Linked DNA regions of Cricetulus griseus. The protein of the gene in region 2 interacts with the protein of the main gene of each other region in a pairwise test. Links are inferred from orthologs where the notes say so. Each region holds a gene or a part of one and is shown on either strand. Other genes may lie near its edges.

Region 1 (10,208 bases), on a different chromosome or scaffold from region 2:
GTGTAACAGTCTTGGCTGTTCTGGAACTCACTTTATAGGCCATGCGGGCCTTGAACTCACAGAGATCTGCTTGTCTCTGCCCCCTGAGTGCTGGGATTGAGGCATGCCCCACTATGTCTGGTTTCACTCTCTTTTCTTTTCTTTCTTTCTTTCTTTCTTTTTTTTTTTTTTTTTTTTTTTTGAGCTAGAAGCTCACTATGTAGCTTTGCCTAACTTTGCCTCCAGAGTGCTGGGATGAAAAGTGTATGCCACCTTTTCTGGACAGCCAGAACTGTTACACAGAAACCCTGTCCCCAAAAGAAAAAAAAAAAAGTATATGCCACCATATCTAGTTAACCCCTCACTTTCTTGAACTGGCTCCATCCAGGGATTCAGGTTTTCCCCAGAATTTCTGCTTCCTGAGATGGTTGGTCCTGAATCTGCTTCATCCCATCCCAGTGGTCACAGAGCATCCCTGTCCCAATGCCTTGCTTCTGTTCACTTTCCTACCTGGTACAAGGAGGTCCCAAGCCCTCTATCTGTCTTCACCCTCTGACACACCTTCATCCCTCCTCCCATTTCTTCTGATCTTCCTTTGGCTTCTCAGCACCTACTAGAGGCAAGATTTGCTCCTATGGCCAGCCCTGGGCAGCCTGGGCCTGGGGAGGGCCAGGAGGAAGAGGAGACGAAGGGAATCTCAGCAGGGCACCGTCCAGAGGTGCTGCAGCAGGCCCAGGAGCTCTTTCTACTGTGTGACAAGGATGCTAAAGGCTTCATCACTAGGCAGGACTTGCAGGTGAGCCACAGTTCCAAGAGGCTGCCAGGCCCAAGGCCAACCTTGGCTGCTCACCTTGGTCTTTCTTGCCTGGCTAGGGCCTGCAGAGTGATCTTCCCCTAACGCCTGAGCAGCTGGAGGCTGTGTTTGAAAGTCTGGACCAGGCCCACACTGGCTTCCTCACAGCCCGGGAGTTCTGTCTTGGCCTGGGTAAGCAGGTCCCAGCCACCTGGAGACCCTATTCAGGCCCCTGTGAGACTCTATATAGCCTGTGCCTTTCACAACTACCCAGGCATTCTACAAGCAGTCACTCTGTGAGCTGCACCACCTCACCTACCCCCAGCTACTGTGCAGCATAGCTGTCTGCCCTCCCCCAATTCCTTCTCCTTTGCCAACCCAGGTGGGGCGGGGGAGCTGGCTGTCATTTCCCATTCCCAGGCCAATAGAACCAGAACAAGGAAGAAAAACAGGAAATTGGGCCCTGAGAGAGGACAGGATATATTGTGTGTGGCCGGGGGAGTTGGGTAGGTCCCATGTTAACCCACAGTCCTGGTCCCATGTCTGCAGGAAAGTTTGTGGGGGTGGAGTCGGCCCAAGGTGGGTCCTCCTTGAGGACTCCTGAGGAAACCTTTGAGTCAAGCACAGGGGGCTCTCTGGAGGAGGACGACGATGTTGAGACATTCTGCACTTCCTTAGAGAAGCTGGGAGTGGCCCGGGTCCTGGGCGAGTGAGTTGATGCTAGGCCCACTTCCTTTTCGAGCCTGATCCCTCTCCTCTGCATGTTCTGTCCACCCTGCCCTCCTGGCTGTTGCCACAGAATCCCAAGGCGGGGCCAGTCCATCCTTTGTCAGTTGTGGTTGTCTGGGAGAGTGCCCTGGCGTGATTTTCCTCAGGATTTGCATTTCAGGAGGCCATAGCTCTGTGGGGGCGGGGTGCCACCAGACACCTAGTCACTCGTGCAAGGCTAAGCAGGCATGAGAGCACACTCCAAAGAGTACGCGGCCGATGTGCTGCCAGTTCTGGGCCGCGGGATTCTCTAGCGGGTTCACCTTCCGAAAAGGGCACACACCTCCAGCATCTGCCAGCTCATCTCTATTCACACCCTCTAGGCAATGGGCTGTTAGGACACTCTGGGTCCGGCTGCAGCGCGAGCGACCCGAGCTGCTGGGCGCTCTGGAGGAAGTTTTGATGCGCGCATCGGCCTGCCTGGAGGCGGCGGCCCGGGAACGCGACGGTTTGGAGCAGGCACTGCGGCGGTGAGGACCGGCTTGGCGAGGTGTGGGGTCTCACGAGGGGACAGAGAGGAAACTGGCAAATGCTCATGCCTGTGATATCCCGGTTCCTCGAAGGCGAGAGAGTGAGCACGAGAGGGAAGTGCGCGGACTCTACGAAGAGCTGGAGCAGCAGCTGGGGGAGCAGCGACACCGCTGCCAGAGCCAGGTGGGCCCGCGTATGCCACGCCCAGCCTCTCTGGCTTCTCTGGCTCCGCCTTCCCCGAACTGGTCCCGCCCCAGAGGACTCACCTCCGGGAGTCCAAGCTGCCCCAAGTCCAGGGAACTCTGCTCTGCCTCCGCAAGTGTCCCCTCCCGCGCTCTCCACCCCTTTGCTCCCCACCCTTGCCTCTCCGCCTGCCTCCTCTGAGCCAGGAGCTAGTGCGGCTGTACATCCCAGAAACTACTGCCCCGGGAGGAACAGAGGGGCCACCTGGAGCTGGAGCTGCAGACCCGCGAGCAGGAGCTGGAGCGTGCAGGCCTGCGGCAGCGGGAGGTAAACCTTAGTTACTTTACGCCCGCATCCTCGCAGACTCATTTCTTTGAGGGTTGGTTTCCTGTGCCTCGGAGTCCTCGAGCTGCAGGAGTGAGAAGTTACCTTGGCACTGGGGGGTGAGCGGGGAGCGTGGTTCGCCTGCCAGCATCCCAACATTCCCCAGCTGGAACAGCAGCTGCAGGCCCGGACTGCAGAACAGCTAGAGGCGCAGGCCCAGCACACCCAGCTGCGTAGGGCCTATGAGGTGATAAGAGCACAGCTGGACCAGGCGCAAGAGCAGCTCAGCCGACTGGAGGGCGAAGCACAAGGTCGTCAGGAGCAAACCCAAAGGTGTGGTGAGGCGCCTGTGGACGGGGTGGAGGGTCCCTTCCCCCACCTTGCATCTGGATCACCAACCACCTTCTACCTACAGAGATGTGGTTGCTGTCTCCAGGAACATGCAGAAGGAGAAACTCAGTCTCCTAAGGCAGCTGGAGCTGCTGAGGTGGGTCAGGCCTACCTGGGCTGTGTGGAGAAGTGGTTTCAAGTTCCCGAATAGTCTTGGCTCTCACCATCTTGCCATGTAGCCTTCATGCTGCACTCTCTGCAGTCCTCCGGACTCAGGAGAGCCAGCCCATCTTCCCGATGCACTGCTTCCTCTAGATCTTTAATTAACCTCCACAGTCTCAAACTCTTCCTCTCTAGGGAGCTGAATCTGCGACTTCGAGATGAGAGAGACGCCTGTGAGACTAAGCTGCTGGGGAGTAGCCATAGGAAGGCTCTAGCGATTGCCCACAAGCCTGGACCTACCTACTGCTGCTGCTGCTGTGGCTGGGCTCGGCCCCCGAGACGAGGCTCTGGCCATCTTCCTAGTGCCCGATGACCAGCCCCAAATGACTCACCGACTCACAGGGCCTTCCTTATTTAGAAGGGGACTGGTGGTGGGTGGCGGCTGCCTGTTAGGTATGTGGCTCTAGCCAGAAAGCATCAGCTACCTGAAGGAACTAAGCTCTGAATGATCAAAGTCTTCCGTCTTCATATCTGTTTAGTAGACCAATAAAGGTCACTGGCCTCTGTGCACTCCTTGCTTTTTGTGTGTCAGAGCCACAGTACATTTGTGGTTCATGTTTGGTGTCCACGGCACGAGGTGATATGGAGAGATTCACAGGTACACACTAGCCTGTCATTCCTGTGGCTGTGAGTCCCTGTGCACTTGTGTATGTCCTGTGATTCTGGTCACTCGCCAAGCCCTCCCTCTCCGTCCATCACAGGACTCAGGTTTCAACAAGTGTCCACTACCATGCTAGCCCTCATGTGGAAAGGGAGTCCTGCCCCTCACTTCTGTGATCAGCTAGCTCTCTGGTCCCGGTCCTTACTCCCTCATCATCTGGCACCATTCCTAGACAGACCATATGCCCTCTTGCAGGGCCCTCACGTGTCTGTGGGTCTCCCGGCACTCTTCACACTTGTACCTGGAGCTTCCCCTCCAACATTTCCTCAGCCGCTAGAACCTGCAGCCTCAGAGTGGTTCCCCGGGCTTAGACTGGAGGAGGATTTGGTCTTGGTCTCAGTTCTGGGCTCTGGTGGGCTAGGTGCCACCTTCCCCACCTCTCCACTCGCCACCTGGTTCTGTCTCCAGCCTAGCTCCTCTGTCTCTGGGTGAGTGGGGGGTCTTGCTGATCACCGGAGCCCTCAAGTTAACTTTCTGGCCCCACAGACTGGGAAGGTGCCCCAGGTCTTGCAGTGCCGCGGTCTGCCACGAGCCCTAGCTCCAAACCAGTTGGGACTTGCCCAACCCAGGCCAGCCGTGGGCGGGGCTGCGCCCGGGGCGGGGTCGCGTGCGGGGCGTGTCCTCGAAGGCCCCGGGCCGAGCATTCTCTCCACTCGGAGCGCTTACTCCTACAGCCGCCTGCCGGGGTTGATACTACAAAGTGTGATTGGTAAGTGCTCCGCAGAGCCAGGCCGCAGGGTGTGAGGAGCGGTGTCCCGAATGCCTCGCGTCCCGGTGTCCCTAGTCCTCACCGCTGGCCTCGGGGACGCCCAGGAGGCAGCGCCGGTAGGACAGGGCTGTAGGCTCCTTTCCGGAAGATAGACGCCGGGGCGGGAAGAAGCAGAGGGGGGAGGGAGAAAGCCTCCGAGGTTCTTGGACAGGCCTGGAGGTCCCCTTCATGCAGAAACCGAGAAAGTCAAAGTCTGATCACCCTATTCATTGTCCCCGGACACCGGTTCCCTCCCCTGAGACCGCAGGTCCGCCCATTGGCGGGGGCGGGGAGGGGGGAGTGGGGGGACGGGCAGGGGCGATGATGACTTCATCTCGGTGACGCGGGGATTCCTTGCCTAGCCGCCTTCAGTGCCTAGTCCCTTCGGTGGGGCGGGTACCGAGCGCCATCGAGGGCACGGGAGAAGTCCAGGGGCTGAGTGTAGGGCGGCCGTGTTCAGGCCGAAAGAGCTATTTCTGGCTGATTGCGACTCCTACGCCGGCCATTTCTCAGGAAATTAACATTCAGTCTGCTGATTGTGCCTTGGCTTAGGTTGCTGGAAGTATTCAGAAGCAGCACCGCATAGGTTCTCGGCTTTTAGAGCCTGGACCCGAGGCTTGCATTGTAGTCGGGCCTCAGTTTGTGTCATGCCCCTCCTCAGTGAGGTAGCGTGTATTTGGGTCCTATTTCCAATGGAGGTCTGTAATCCCCAGGGGTGGACAGTTGATGCTCTCCTCCTCCAGTCTGCAGTCGATGCTGTTTGGTGGGGGAGGGACAGTGATGGATGGGTCTGGAGGGTGGGGCACCTGGAGAAGGCATTTGGTCCCTCCCTAGATCAAGCTGGCCAGCAATGTCCTCTGCCCCACCCTGGTCCAGAAGAAAATAGACCTGACTGTTATGCCTGCTTCCAGATCTGGTGGCTCTGGAAATCATTCTGACCACTGCTTCAGCCACCATAGGAGTGGCAAGATCCCATCTGCCAGGTGAAGGGCAGACCACTGACTTTTGACCTGTACCTGCTGGTCCTTCTGACTTATAGAGGTGAGTGCTGGTGCTTGGACGGAGCCCGCAGGTGGCAGGTGAGAAGTCCTGTACACTTGCCTGTCTAAAAACCGGTCCTGGGGTGTTCAGCTGAGGTCTGTACTGCAGACTGTCCACAGTGCAGACACTAGTGTGTTTAGGGCAGTTTGTGCCTAGGGGACTTTTGGGGGAATGGCACATCCATGTCTATGGAACTGAAGGCCTCCTTCAGCCTGGAGGGGAGCTGATTGTGTAGGCTCCACCTACTGGCACCTCTATTGTCCCTGCCCTGGATGAGAGAGAGTAGAGAGGTTACTCACAGAGCCCTCACTGTCTACCTGAGGTCTGCTTCTCTGCCACATCTGGGGTATTAATGCTAAACAGTCAGTCCCGTGATGATATAGGGTCAGGGAATGCTGTGGGGGTGGCAATCCACAGGAATACATCCTGAAGAGTCCCCACCCCTTGCCAGCAGGAGTGAGTCAGCAGATGGTTGGGGGTCCTCCATGCAATTCAATATGGGTGTCTGGCTGCTAGGAGGGGTGTTAGACCTGATCAGTTGTCCAGGAAGTGACTCATACATAGTTCCTGGGAAGGTTCCTCTTAAGGCTGATAGCTGGCTGAGATCCAAACTGCTGCATCCTCTCCTGTTCCCATTGGTTTCTAGCTTTCTTGCTAGCTGGAGGCCTTGTGCTCCCAGCCATCTGACCTCCTCCACGTTTCTGCAGGCCCAGCATGGGTGAATTCAATGAGAAGAAGGCAACATGTGGCACAGTCTGCCTCAAGTACCTGCTGTTCACCTACAACTGCTGCTTCTGGGTGAGAAGTGACTCTCCCTACATCCCTGTTCTTCCTCATCTTGGAGGCCTGGCCTGGGGGCTTGGCCCCAGCTTCCAGACCCAGGCCAGATGTGGTGACCAGTACATATTTCCTGCAGCTGGCCGGCTTGGCCGTCATGGCAGTGGGCATTTGGACATTGGTACTCAAGAGTGACTACATTAGTCTGCTGGCTTCAAACACCTATCTAGCCACAGCCTACATCTTAGTGGTGGCTGGTGGCGTTGTCATGGTGACCGGAGTCCTGGGCTGCTGTGCCACTTTCAAGGAGCGACGGAACCTGTTACGCTTGGTCAGCAGGGCCTGGTGGCACAAGTGAAGCATGGGGCTGGGGGTGACTGGCATGGGTTTCTCAGGGGCTTCTGGTACTGGTTCTGGGGCTTGATTCTGGTTAAGTATGTTACTGCAGGCTGTCCCTGTTGAACTCTCTGGGGCATCCCCCCAGCTGGACCAGCTGAGGGTATACACCAGCCCAGAGAAGTATCAGGAGTTGGGCAGCCCAAGCCTGTAGCTGCTAATTGGATTCCTCCTGCTTGGCCTCTTGGGTTGGGACTTGCTTTGTGGTGCTCTGGCACTAGGAACCCCAACTCACTGGGTCCCTGCTTCCTAGTACTTCATCCTGCTCCTCATCATCTTCCTCCTGGAGATCATTGCTGGCATCCTGGCCTATGTCTACTACCAGCAGGTAAGGGCCTGAACTGGACATGGGGTACGTCTGGAACAGGTGTGCACACAGGCAGGTGGATCCCAGGGCTGCTTTGGGACTTATGGGGAGGCAGGTATGCATGGGGTTGACAGTGTCACTCATTTGCTTGCCCACTTGGTGGCTCTTCTAGTCTTGTCAGTCCCACTGGGGGTCCTGACTCTAGTTTTGCCCTTGGGGGTCTTAGACTTTGATCCTACCCACAGCTGAACACAGAGCTCAAGGAGAATCTCAAGGACACCATGACCAAGAAATACCACCAGTCAGGCCACAAGGGTGTGACTAATGCTGTAGATAAGCTACAGCAAGAGGTGGGTGTCCCCTATAACTCTCCACTTTCCCAGTATGGAGCTATATGTTGGCAGGCTGTAGGGCTCAGCCACATACCCCCTTGCAGTTCCACTGTTGTGGCAGCAACAACTCTCAAGACTGGAGAGACAGTGAATGGATCCGCTCTGGTGAGGCAGAAAACCGTGTGGTTCCTGACAGCTGCTGTAAGACTGTGGTACCTGGCTGTGGTAGGCGGGACCATGCCTCCAACATCTATAAAGTGGAGGTAGGTGGGTGCTGAGCAAAGGGCTAGACTGATTGGGTGTCTCCGGTCTGGCTACATCTTAGGGCAGCCTGGTCCAATAGGGCTGCATATGGGAGCCAGCAAGGTCCACCACTCTCTCCCCACTAGGGTGGCTGTATCAGTAAGCTGGAGACCTTCATTCAGGAGCACCTGCGGGTCATTGGGGCTGTGGGCATCGGCATCGCCTGTGTACAGGTATGGAAACAGAGGTGACTAGGTGGGAACACTGGGGTGGCTGGTGGCCCACAGCCTTTTTACACCAGCCTGGTCCCATGCAGGTCTTCGGCATGATCTTCACCTGCTGCTTATACAGAAGCCTCAAGTTGGAACACTACTGACCATGGTGCCAGGCCAGGCTGCCAGCCTTGCACTATGTCCCACCCCACTACGAAGTACTACTGAGTTAGACTGCTGACTGCCAGAGAGGTAGCTGTCCTCATGCCATCACTACAACCCCACCTCAGGGGTAGCTTCAAGTGCCTTTCACTGCATACCAAAGTACCAAGGCTTGAGGCAATGTACTTGCCCCAGGATAAGAGGGGGCAGGTATGCCAGTGTTGGGCTAGGCCTACCTGGTAGAATTGGGTTTAGATTATTTGACAAAAGTGCCTCTTGCCCACAGGCTACTTTCCTTGGGTAGCTGTGATTTGCATTAAGTGTTGGGGGAGAACATGGGTTTACCACTTGCATGGTGGGTAGAAGCAGGTGGGAAAGGCCATTCTGGGTGGTCTAGGTACCTTTCATGCCTGCTGCTGGGAACACTCAGATGTGCTTGCTCCAAAGCAATGGGGCAACCCGAGGGGAACTCCAACCCCACTCACTGTATATGCCGTCCTTTCCATCCAGGCTTCTCTTGCTCCTAACATCCTCAGCCCTGGCTCTCCCCCACTTCTGATAACACTGTGCAAATGCCCCATGTTCCTATATACTGTCTCCTTTTGGAACATCTCTGAACGGGGGTATGGCTGTTTCCATCCACTGTTGTAACCCTGATGCCCACACATGCTCCTGCTTTGTAACAGGTGCTCAATAAATATATGAACAGTTGAGTCAGTTTGCTGACAGGACCTTAGGGTCCAGGGTAGCTGGAGTACTCGTAAGAGTCAAAGATGGGGAAGCCTAGTAGCAGGGCAGCTAGGCTGACCTCTGGTAGCTGGTGAGCCTCCAGCTCACTGTGGCCTGGATTTGGCCAGGCAAAGGATTGCTCATATTCAGAATGTACCTTAAGAGCTCATTCTTGGGCTCAGCCATTAAAGGCTAGGCTCACAACCAAAAATATAAGAGCTGATTCTCTGTCCCCAGTAGTCCTATGCTGTTTAGTTTAGCTGGAGGAATGGAGTCCTAGGGGCCCCCTGACTCCAGTCTAAGGCAAAACTTTCTCCTCTTTAAAAACTAGCGTGGGTGTGTGCATGCGATTCATTTTAATCCCAGCACTCAAGAGAGGGAGGAGAAGCAGGCAGATTGCTGAGTTTCAGACCAGTCAAACAAAACCAAAAACCCAGAACAACAAAAATCTCAGTGGGATCAATGTGCTAAAAAAAGAACCCTGAGATATTTACTGCAACTACCTAGGAACCAGAGCCTTAAATGGGCCTCGAGTAGGTTTCTTTTTTGTTTTTTTTGAGACAGGATTTTCTGTGTAGCTTTGGAGCCTATCCTGGCACTCATTCTGGAGACCAGGCTAACCTCGAACTCGAGTAGGTTTCTTAGGGTTGGGACTTTTCCACTCCTGTGGGGATTGGGTTGAGTGGCAGGGAGAGCAAATGCTCAGAGGTTAAGGGTGTTGGTGGTGCACGTCTTTAATCCCAGCAACAACAACCAAAAAGAATACATGGTAGCTCAATACTGTCTGTAACTTTTGGTCTCTATGGGTACACAATTATAAAGACATACAAGCAGACAAAACACCACACACATAAAAATAATTTCTATACCATGGTGGTGGGACAATTGAGTGGGCCTCCAAGCACTTTCAGTATTCCAAAGGAGTAACCTCCCAGGCTTGGGCCCTGCCTTGTGGATGGATGGTGTGGCCACATCTACCCTGCCCACCCTGAGCACTGGCAGGAAAAGATGAGGCCCTAGGGCAATGAGTGCAAGATTGTACTGTAGGGTTACCTAGTGGATCAAACAGGGCAAGGCCCAGAGAAACAGAAGCAGTGGGCTCCCATAAGACTGGACTCCCAAGTCGGGTGAGGGGAAGGAGAACAGTCCTGGGGAAAAAGACTGGATCCAGGCCAGGTAACCTCAAAGACAGCATAGACATGATGTTGAGGGTCTTATATAAAGTTAGACCTGTTGTTTCTGCTAACGTCTTTACTGAACTGTTTCTTCCAGGGTGAGGGGATGTAGGCCACAGGGCCAAAGCCAGGCAATGCACCCACCTCCCCAACACCTCAGTTTGAATTCAGCATGATTAAGATTGTCCATGGCCAGCAGAGGAGGAGGGTAAACTCCAGACTTCACTTCTCCAGGGGAGCATAGTTAAGCAGCTTTTCAATCAGGTCCACGTGTGCTAGCAGCATGCGGCGGCAGCAATAGCGCTTCAGGCCCAGAGCATCCAGGGCATCCCTGTAAGGAGGAGAGAGGAGTGAC
Region 2 (9,597 bases):
TCTTTCTTTTCTTTCTTTTTTTTTTTCAAGACAGGTTTTCTCTGTGTAGCTCTGGTTGTCCTAGAACTGGCCCTGTAGACCAGACTGGCCTCAAACTCACGGAGATCTGCCTGAGATTAAAGGCATGCACCGCCACAGAGTTGGCTTACAGTTTAGAGGTTGAATCCATTATCATCATGATGGTGATGCTGGCACAGATGAGAGTTCTACATCTTTCAGGCAATAGGAAGTCGGCTGACCAACTCACTCATCCTCCAACAAGGGCACTACTCCTAACAGTGCCATTCCCTTTGGGGGACATTTTCTTTCAAACCACCATAGGAGGGAACTTCAATTAAGAAAACGCCTCTAAGCAGCCAGTAGCCTGAGGAGCCCACAGTACCCTTAGGGACTTCACCTCAGGTCCAGCTGAATCCTCATCACAGAGAAGAATTTCAGGACAAACCAGAATAAAACAAGTTTATTAAGTAGATATGGTGATAGGAGCAAGTGCATGCTTAGATAGAAGCATGGGTTGTGGGGGGCAAAAAGAAAGACCTACCTTTTAGGAAAAAAGAACACATCTAAGACATGGGTGTGGGGCTTCTCAAGAGAGTCATGCTTAGTCTTCTTTGTAGTGGATACATGTATTCATACTGTCATTTAAAAAAGTTATACTGTTTAAAGGGCATATATAATTCATTACAAAGCTTAAAGATGAACAAAGTGTAAAAGCTAAGCTTTAGAGATCAAGTGCGAAGATATGAGCTGGTTTACTTATTTCACTTAAAGAATTTTCTTTTGTTAAAAGAAACTCTAATGTGACTTTATGTGGTGTGTTGCTTAGACTCAGGGATGAGAGGAATGTTGGCACAATTAAGCCTCAGGCCATAAACATTCTCATCCTAACTAAACATAGATGGTTGTTTGTTTGAACGGCCTTGTTTGAGATGTCTGTAGGAAAACTAGTATTTTCTTTGCAGGCAGTCTTTTGTTTTGTTTTGTTTTTTGAGACAAGATTTGTGTAGCCCTGGCTGTCCTGGAATTCAGCCAGCTCCATAGACTAGACTGGCCCTGAACTCAAAGAGATCTGCCCCCCTCTACCTCCTGAGTGCTGGAATTAAAGGTGTGCACCACTACATGAGGCTCTTTGCCAGCAGTTTTGCTTTTGTCCATTTGTTTTGAAGTTTCTTGACACCCAGCTAGAAGGAAATACAAACTAGATCTCAGCATGAGGGGCCTATTTCCCTTCCCACTTTCCCCCATTTTTGTATCCAATGTCTTTGTATCTAGCCTTAGCCTGACTGATGACCATTGCATTCAGACATGAGGAGCTTGTGCCTCCTAGAGGGCCTGGCGGCCTCCACTGAGAGTACATCAGAAGCAAGACTTGTAAGACTGACTTCAGGTGCCAAGTGGCATCTGACCCAGACATCTTCCTAAACTTTCAGAGCTCTGTGGTTTTATACCTCGACCTTAAACAAGCGTCCGATTGGCTACTGCTGGGGCAACTTGTATTTCATTATACTTTTAGTCGTCTCTGAAATGTGTGGATTTGCATAGGAGTATATGTTTTATTTTCAAGAATGAAGTCAGCTGATGTTTCTAAGAGGATAGCTTGTTATAACAGGAGCTGGTTACAGCATAACAATCTATTGTTTGTTGAGATGATTTGTTAGACTTGCAAAGACCTCAGAGAGGAGCACCGAGGATTGTGTGCCTGGATGTGACCTTCTGCTTCCCTAATGCTGTGTTTCCTACAGAAGTCCAGAAAGAAACAGTGTGGATGACTCTGGGGAAAGAGATGAAAAGTTCTCCAAGGCCATCAGCTTTACACAGGAGTCAATTAGCCGAGTTTCAGAAACCGAGTCCCTGGATGGAAACTCACCGAAGAGAGTTAGTATCTGCTGTTCCCTAAAACCCACACCTACATGAGAGCAAGTAAAAAAATGCAATGTATTAGAAATGTTGAAAAGCTTAGACTGTCCAGCTGCTGCTTTGTTTTAGAAAAAGAGTATGTATCTCTAAGTAGCAGACGTTATGTGGGGAAAGAATGTGGTATTCTTCAAAGATAGCTAAGGTGCAGGCCCCTGAGCAACATGTTAAGACACTACTAATACTTCTTAAAATATAACAGGACCCAGAAATCTGTAGTTGGCAGAATTTCCCCATGTGAAGGAAATGCATGTGGTGGAGACAGTCTGTTTCAAATAGGGAGAGACAGGCCTTTGAGCATAGCTGGGTCACAGAGGACACATCCATTTCTTTTTAGTAGAAACTCCTTAGGTAACACATTAAAAATGACAGTCCAGCTAGTGACTGGCTTTTCAGTTAGCTGGTGAGCTTCAGTTTTTTCAAGTGTCATAAGTCTAAGTGGTCTACAGCACTAGTTCTATAACAGCCACGGCTACACAAAGAAACCCCGTCTTGAGAAAAAGAAAGGAAGGAAGGAAGAAAGAAAGAAAGCTATTAAGGTACTGAGAACAATTCCTAGCATTCACTGAGTGTCCTAAAACCATTGGCTGTTGTAATTGAAAGTGAGCCTGCATGTAGTTAGTAATGGTTCTTTTTTAAGACACCTTTGGGAAAATACTGACATAGAATTTATTCATGTGAAAGGTCCCTGAACTCTACACTTGTTTTAGACAATCATCCTTCATCATACCTCTATGTCAGCCTACTTTTATAAAACTTGTTCAGTATAAGTTTTATAAACATGGACACTTAGGGATCTAGTACTGCACAAGGATTGTCATTCTGGAAGTTAATATTTACATGTGAAACACTCAGTTAGGGGAGGTAATAAGATGGGGGACTTGTTGCAGTCTCATTACCCATTTATCAAAGTCCATCTTTGAGGAGTGGGTTCTCAGGACTTTAGTCTGTCTTAGTCCTTTCCACTTCCTCAGTCTTCTGTGGCTCCTCTTGGAATACTTAGTCTGTTGGATCTTACCTTTAGTTATGTCCAAAAATAAGTTGCCTGTTCTCTTCATGGTGAATGGGATGTAAAAGAGTGCAATAGACTGATTACTTACTTGCTGATGTTTAGGACAGAGGTTTTCGGCTTTGGAAGCTGGGTCTTTTCCCCAGGAGCATTATGGTGAGACTCTCCGATTTCAGAGGTCAGCAAATGGTGTCCATCTTTCACTTTGTTTGATGTTTTACTGTCATCAAATTGAAAATAACAAAAAAAAACCCAGAAACAACTGTTTTCCAATGGAAACATGCTCATTATAAAATTAATATTCCTTGGAAAATACAGGAAAATATCTGGAGATAAAATCAATACAGATGCCAACATTTGTTACCTTTCATGTAGGTATCTTTATTCCTATAATAGGAAATACAATTTAGTTAATGGGAGAAATATATGTGTGGAGCTCTGCTCAGCTGTTTGAGAGGCCCTGGGTCTGCTAAGTAACCATAATGCTTTCTCCTGTGGAACTCCCAAATGCATCACCTCTTGATTTTAGCTGTAGTCTGCTCTGCTTGAAGAGTCAGTTCTCTGGGTAGGGTAGTGTAACTCATTAGTAAGATGTATCCTGGGTTCCACTTACCACCCAGCTTCCCCATTGGCCAGTGGAAACCTGTGTCCTCCCTAGAGCTGAGTTCAGGACTAGGCAAGCATCTTCTAGGGCAGAAAGGAGAAGGGCTGGATGCATGTTTTGTGCTGTCTTTTGTCGGTGTACACACAGTACAAAACGGAATTTTTCTGTATAGCTAATATAGATTCTTTTTTTTCTAATATAGATTCTTTACTTATCTTACTAATTATAGTTAGTTCTATTTGAGTTATAACATAGCAATAACACTTTTATTTAATGTCTGTCATTTTTTTAATGTCTGTCATTTAATAATGACATGTCCTTATTAAATATGCCCAGAAAGTATACATGTCAAATTTTGGTATATTTTAATATTTTTATCTCTAGGACCAGTTTGCTATGAACTCACTCCTCTCCCCACCACACTCCTAGGTGACTTACTTCTATCTCTCTATTTTCTTTCCATTTCTATTTTAGTTATTGATTTTGAGAGATGGGTGAGAAGTGGACACCAGATAAATAAACAAACAGGGTTTGACCTCTCTCCCTTACCCACCCCAAAGGCCTGATTGTTTCTTATTTTTGCCTTCTGTCCCTTCCTTTCCCTTCCCTTCTGCTTTAGCTGCTCACAAGCTAATACCTTTCTTTGAATCCCTTTTACATGGTTCTCTTCATAAATGTGTCATTCATACTGCATGAGAACACCTCAGGGAGGACCTATATTATCTCTATGTCAAGGGTAGCAGTCAATCTTAACAGAATGCTTTAGATATTTTTCAAAAAACATCATTTCATGTCTTTACTCTTAATATTTACTATTAAAGTTTTTACTGTGAGACCTAAGCTTAAATAAGTTATTTTTGTTTGTTTGTTTTTACTTTTTAACTGAATTGTTTGTCTTTTAGGGATTAGGAAAAGAAGAGTCCCAGAGTGAGAAACATTTGAAAAAAAGCCTTTCACTAGTTTCAGAAAAGAGGTTAAGTAGAACGCCCTCCAAATCACTGGACTTGAATAAAAATGAGTACCTTTCTCTGGACAAAAGCAGCACTTCAGATTCTGTTGACGAAGGTAAAGAATTTAAATCTTAACAAAATTCCAGGCATGTCTTCTAATGTTTACCCTTGTGTTAGGTGTGTGCAGAGTGAGAGTTTGATTGTGGCAGCCTCACACTATAGGGAACCAGAAAAGGAATAAATGCATATAGAACACAGGAGAAGAACTTGTCAGTCTGGCCCATCTGCGTGTCTCTCAAAGCCTGGAATTTGAAAGTCTCCATTAGGTTGGCTTAGAATTCCAAGCTTTCAGGAATAGCAAGCCAGGGCACAGTGAGATATCTCTGGACCCAGCTTTGGTGGCCATGGTGTGCAGGTCTGTACTCCCAACAACAGAGGTCTCACTGGCCAGGCAGCCTAGCCTAATCAGCAAGGGCCAGGTCCCAATGAGAGACGAGACCATGCCTCAAAAACTAAAGGAAGATGTCTCCTGAGGAACAACACTGCAAGTTGTCCCCTGGACTTTACAGATAACACACACACACACACACACACACACACACACACACACACACACACACACACACACACACACAAACAAAGCTTTCATTGCAGTGGACACAGTGAAAAGCAAGTCTGTATGCTGTTCCAGCAGACTACACACACACACACACACACACACACACACACACACACACACACACACACACACAAACAAAGCTTTCATTGCAGTGGACACAGTGAAAAGCAAGTCTGTATGCTGTTCCAGCAGACTAAATGGGGTAAGATGGTCCCATTGTTAATGTATTTATTTAGAGAAAGATGAAATCAATGGGTTTTTAAACACATGTAGCTAGTTAACTGTACTGAGGCTGGGTTGAGGATAAGACCTTTGAGACCTGTGTTCTTTTCACTTAACCAAAGGAGTTCCCAAGTTATTGCTATTATTATTATTCTTGGAGCTAGGTTCTCACTGTGTGGTCTTGGATGGCTGGGCTGTAACTGACTTTTTAGTCCTGCCGAACTTAGACCCTCCTGCCTCTGCCACTGCTGGGATTAAAGGCATGAGCACTGTGTCCAGAACTTCCCAAATTCTTCTTTCTCTTCTTTGTAAAAAAAAAAGACATCTGCTGGGTGTGGTGGTGCACAACTGAATCCCAGCATTTGGGAAGCAGAGGCAGGAGGATCTCTGTGTGTTTGAGGCTAGACTGATCTACATAATGAATCCCAGGCTAGCCAAGACTCATAATGACACCCTGCCTCAAACAAACATCTTAGCAAAGGCTCTGCAAGACTGATTTTACACTACCCCCCCACACACACACACGTGCGCATGCACACACACACACATATATATATATATATATATATATATATATATATATATATATATATAACAAGTAGTCATGGCAGATGCACATTCTGAGATGAATATTAAATTACTGTGTGGCTTCCATTAGGAAATAAAATGCTTAGAAAGCAACTTTTTTCAAAAAAGATTGCTTAGAAGATTATTATTCTACTTTGTATGGGTGAAGTTACATGCTTTTGACTATTGTTTTTAGATTATTTTCGAGAAATATTTAAAAATAACTTTAAAGGCAGACACATGGTCACATCCTCACAATTACATCTGAACTGTTTCTATTAAAATCAATATCCATTGAATTTTTAATTTTGTTTTGTTTTGCTTTTTGAGACAGAGTTCTTCTGTATAGCCCTAGCTGTTCTGGACCTAGCTCTGGGGACTAGGCTGGCCTAGAAATCACAGACATCTCCTTGTCTCTGCCTTCCAAATGCTGGGATTAAAGGTGTGTGCCACCACTGCCTGGCAAATTTTTAAAATTTATTTTCAAATCACATTTCTCCCTTCCTTCCTTCCTTTTTTTTTTTTTTGGCTAATCTGGAACTCACTTCGTAGGACAGATTGGCCTTGAAGTCAGAGATCCACCTGCCTCTGCCTCCTCAGTGCTGGAACTAACCACTGCCCAGTTCAAATCACTTTTAAAGAACATTCTGTAGTTGAAATATTTTTACAAAGAAAACTGCTAATACTAGTCTACATGGTGTTTAAAAATAACTCACAGAGCCAGTGATGTGGCCCTATGGGTAATAGTACTTGCCATTGAGCCAAATAGCTTTAGTTCAGTCCTTGGGATCCACATAATGGAAGGAGAAATAGACTCCTGCAAGTCTTCCTTTGGCCCTACATATGTGCAATGACCCATGTACCCTCCCCACAATAAATAAAGGAAATGTAAAAAGTAAAATGTCATTTGAATTTAGAAAACTAATAGATTTAGCTAGACTCTAATGATGATGAATAACCAGAATCTTTACTGAAAGAAAGGCCTTCTGGGTATCAAATGTGTTATACTCTGGCTGCTATTTTTATTGTATGCTGTATATTGTTACATGGGCTCAACAAATAGCATCCTTCCTGATATCCCTACTGTAATAAAATTGGGAAAAGAAACTAAAATTGGGAAAAGAAACAAAGAGCAAGTCAGAGGGACCAAAATAGTACCCTTTGCAGTGATGGTGGCCAAGTAAGAGGAAAATCCACTTACATGTGCCAGAGGTAACAAGGCTGGGCTGAAAATATGTATGAATTACTCATAAGTCAAGCCAGCTGCTCTCCCCAGAGGAAGAGGTGAGACCAGCCATGGAACAGCAGCAGCTGCTGAGGGTACCTAGGCTTCATGAAACATGACAGCCATGAGGCTTCATGAAACATGACAGCCATGTGCCAAGCCTGCCTGGTATGCCCCTTCCACGATTATTCATGATATAGGCAGCGTGGGCTGCCACGAAAGATAGATACTTCCATTCACATAGGTCAGACGAGAACAATGTAATTCCTTACAGTTCTATAGTGCAAAAGTCACAGGTCAGGCCCAGCAGCATTGCTTTCTGGTGAGGACACTCTCCTGGCTGTGGAGAGCTAGATACCTTTGTGCTCTGTCCTCAGTGTATGCCCAGGAGGTGGGACAGGAGGAAGAGGGTAGCAGGGGATATTTGAGGATATAACAACAATAACAACAATAGCAAAGATGTCTATGGGCAACTTAGCAAGCCAAGCTCCCTACTTTCTCTAAGTATGTCATATTACACAGTAGGTTTTATATTAAGTCTTTCCTGAAAATACGAAGATCACTGGCATCGAAGTCAGTATAGTAGGCATGACGGGAATGATGGGTGTTATGGCCTTACTTTAGGATGTGAGGGCGTGAATTAGGCATGTGCTGGCTTCCTGACTGAACTTGGAACTCTAGGAAGATCTATTCTGGCACCCAGTGGCCAAATAGGCAAGTGACAGCAAAACAAGGAACTATTTTCTCTTTCATTAAACCTACTCTTAAGAATTGTCTTAAAAAGTCATTTCATTATTGAGTTCCTGGAACAGTCACATTAAAACTCAAAGGCTGCACACACACATCTAGGAATAAGGGAAAGATGAGAGTGTGTAGTTACTGTACTTGGGCCCTGGTCACTCTGTGATCCTTACTGGTGCCTCTTTAAAAACTGCTTGCTTTGGCAGTGAGCAGTTACACGGTGTTTTCCCTAAAGTGTCCTTAAGATATAAGAGTGAGTTTTTCTTGTTTGTTTGTTTCTGAGACAGGGTTTCTCTGTGGCTTTGGAGGCTGTCCTGGAACTAGCTCTTGTAGACCAGGTTGGTCTCAACTCACAGACATCCACCTGCCTCTACCTCCCAAGTGCTGAGATTAAAGGCGTGCGCCACCAACACCCGGCTAAGAGTGAGTTTTTCTTAATAGATTATATTAGATAATAATTTGGGTGATCCCACTGTTTTCCCTAAATGTGTTTCAAATATCAGGCTCATCATAACTTTCAAATGAGTATAAAGATGACTCTGTTTTTCTCTTTTCTCGAGGTTGTAAAATAATGAAGCCATTGGCAGGAAATGATCTAGGTAGAAAATGAGAAAGATCAAATGAAGTCGACCAAGCTGGGAGATTGGAGAATGATGTGGAAGGCTAAAGGGAGATGGCTGGGTGGGGCTCTTTTTAAACCAAACATTGCTTAGGTTTGCTGGCACAGGGTCTTACTGTGTAGCCCTGGCTGTCCTGAAACTGGTCATATTGCTCAGGTTGGCCTTGGGCATCCAGGGTCCCTCCTGCCCTCTCCCGAGTGCTGGGATTATGTTTACACCACCATGATAGAAAAATGAGAAAATCCTGCCCTGCCTTTCATATCACAATTCTGGGGAAGGAACACTGGGTTATTTTGACATAGAGATTCACTCTAGAATCACAAGTCCCTGACAAAACCAACTAACACAGAATATGGTGCTACTGTCTCATGGAGGGAATCCAACTCAATCCTTACCTGTCTAGGACACTGTTCTGCATCCTCAAAACAATGGCAGTGTATGTTGTGAGTTTCATGTTACTGTGTTCCCCCTTTAGTCATCTGCCTCATTCCAAATGATTTCTACTGATACTTTAAAAAAATGTTTTCAAATATGTGTATTTGTGTATGTGTGTGCATGAAACTGCTGGCGTGCACAAAGGTAGCAGGTCCTTGTATCTCCTGGAGCTAGAGTTACAGGTGGTTGTGAGCTGCCCAAAGTGGGTGCTGGGATCCACATTTGGGTTCTCTGGATGAGCAACCACCTCTCCAGTCCCTTAGCTGGTATTTTTGAAGCGTTTTTTTTTTTTCCCTATATTGACAAAAGTACCCTGCTCCTGAGTTGAGCAGTGTCCTCTCTTCATTTAAAAAGAACCACCTGTCAACTTTCTATGCAACAGCAGTATTATTGGTATTGATCTTTGGAGAATATTGAAATGTCAAGAATATCATAAATGAGTAACCTAACCCAGGAACAGTTCATTTCATTTATTTATTTCCTTGAGCAAATTTCCATGCAGAATATATTATTAATTTCTGATACTGATACAGTAAATTGCACTTTTATCAGTCATAATTCAGAATCTATCACCTAACGAGCTTAGGAGAAGTATGAACGTACTATATAGAAGAATGTACACAAGTGTAATCTTTCCATTTTTAATATGAATAAAAAGCTCACTTTTGAAAAGTTATAAAATAGGACCCCT

Evidence for each region.
Region 1: the proteins of Gramd1c (region 2) and Cd151 interact in binary tests that used the Homo sapiens proteins (3 or more experiments, as listed by UniProt). The link is inferred for Cricetulus griseus from reciprocal best matches to the Homo sapiens genes GRAMD1C and CD151.

The regions. Positions count from the first base shown.
Region 1 is NC_048596.1:59,712,124-59,722,331, reverse strand, and holds Cd151 (CD151 antigen), read left to right. Parts: upstream 1-4,313; 5' UTR 4,314-4,440; intron 4,441-4,874; exon of another isoform or gene 4,875-5,144; intron 5,145-5,313; 5' UTR 5,314-5,520; intron 5,521-6,166; 5' UTR 6,167-6,234; coding exon 6,235-6,318; intron 6,319-6,436; coding exon 6,437-6,628; intron 6,629-6,946; coding exon 6,947-7,021; intron 7,022-7,245; coding exon 7,246-7,350; intron 7,351-7,436; coding exon 7,437-7,595; intron 7,596-7,721; coding exon 7,722-7,808; intron 7,809-7,891; coding exon 7,892-7,951; 3' UTR 7,952-8,662; downstream 8,663-10,208. Other genes in the region: Cracr2b (EF-hand calcium-binding domain-containing protein 4A), read left to right, coding at 614-775, 853-964, 1,322-1,481, 1,864-2,010, 2,104-2,194, 2,426-2,521, 2,685-2,851, 2,934-3,005 and 1 more; Polr2l (DNA-directed RNA polymerases I, II, and III subunit RPABC5), read right to left, coding at 10,076-10,184. UniProt on the Homo sapiens protein: Structural component of specialized membrane microdomains known as tetraspanin-enriched microdomains (TERMs), which act as platforms for receptor clustering and signaling.
Region 2 is NC_048597.1:46,379,326-46,388,922, forward strand, and holds part of Gramd1c (protein Aster-C), read left to right. Parts: intron 1-1,742; coding exon 1,743-1,875; intron 1,876-4,429; coding exon 4,430-4,592; intron 4,593-9,597. UniProt on the Homo sapiens protein: Cholesterol transporter that mediates non-vesicular transport of cholesterol from the plasma membrane (PM) to the endoplasmic reticulum (ER).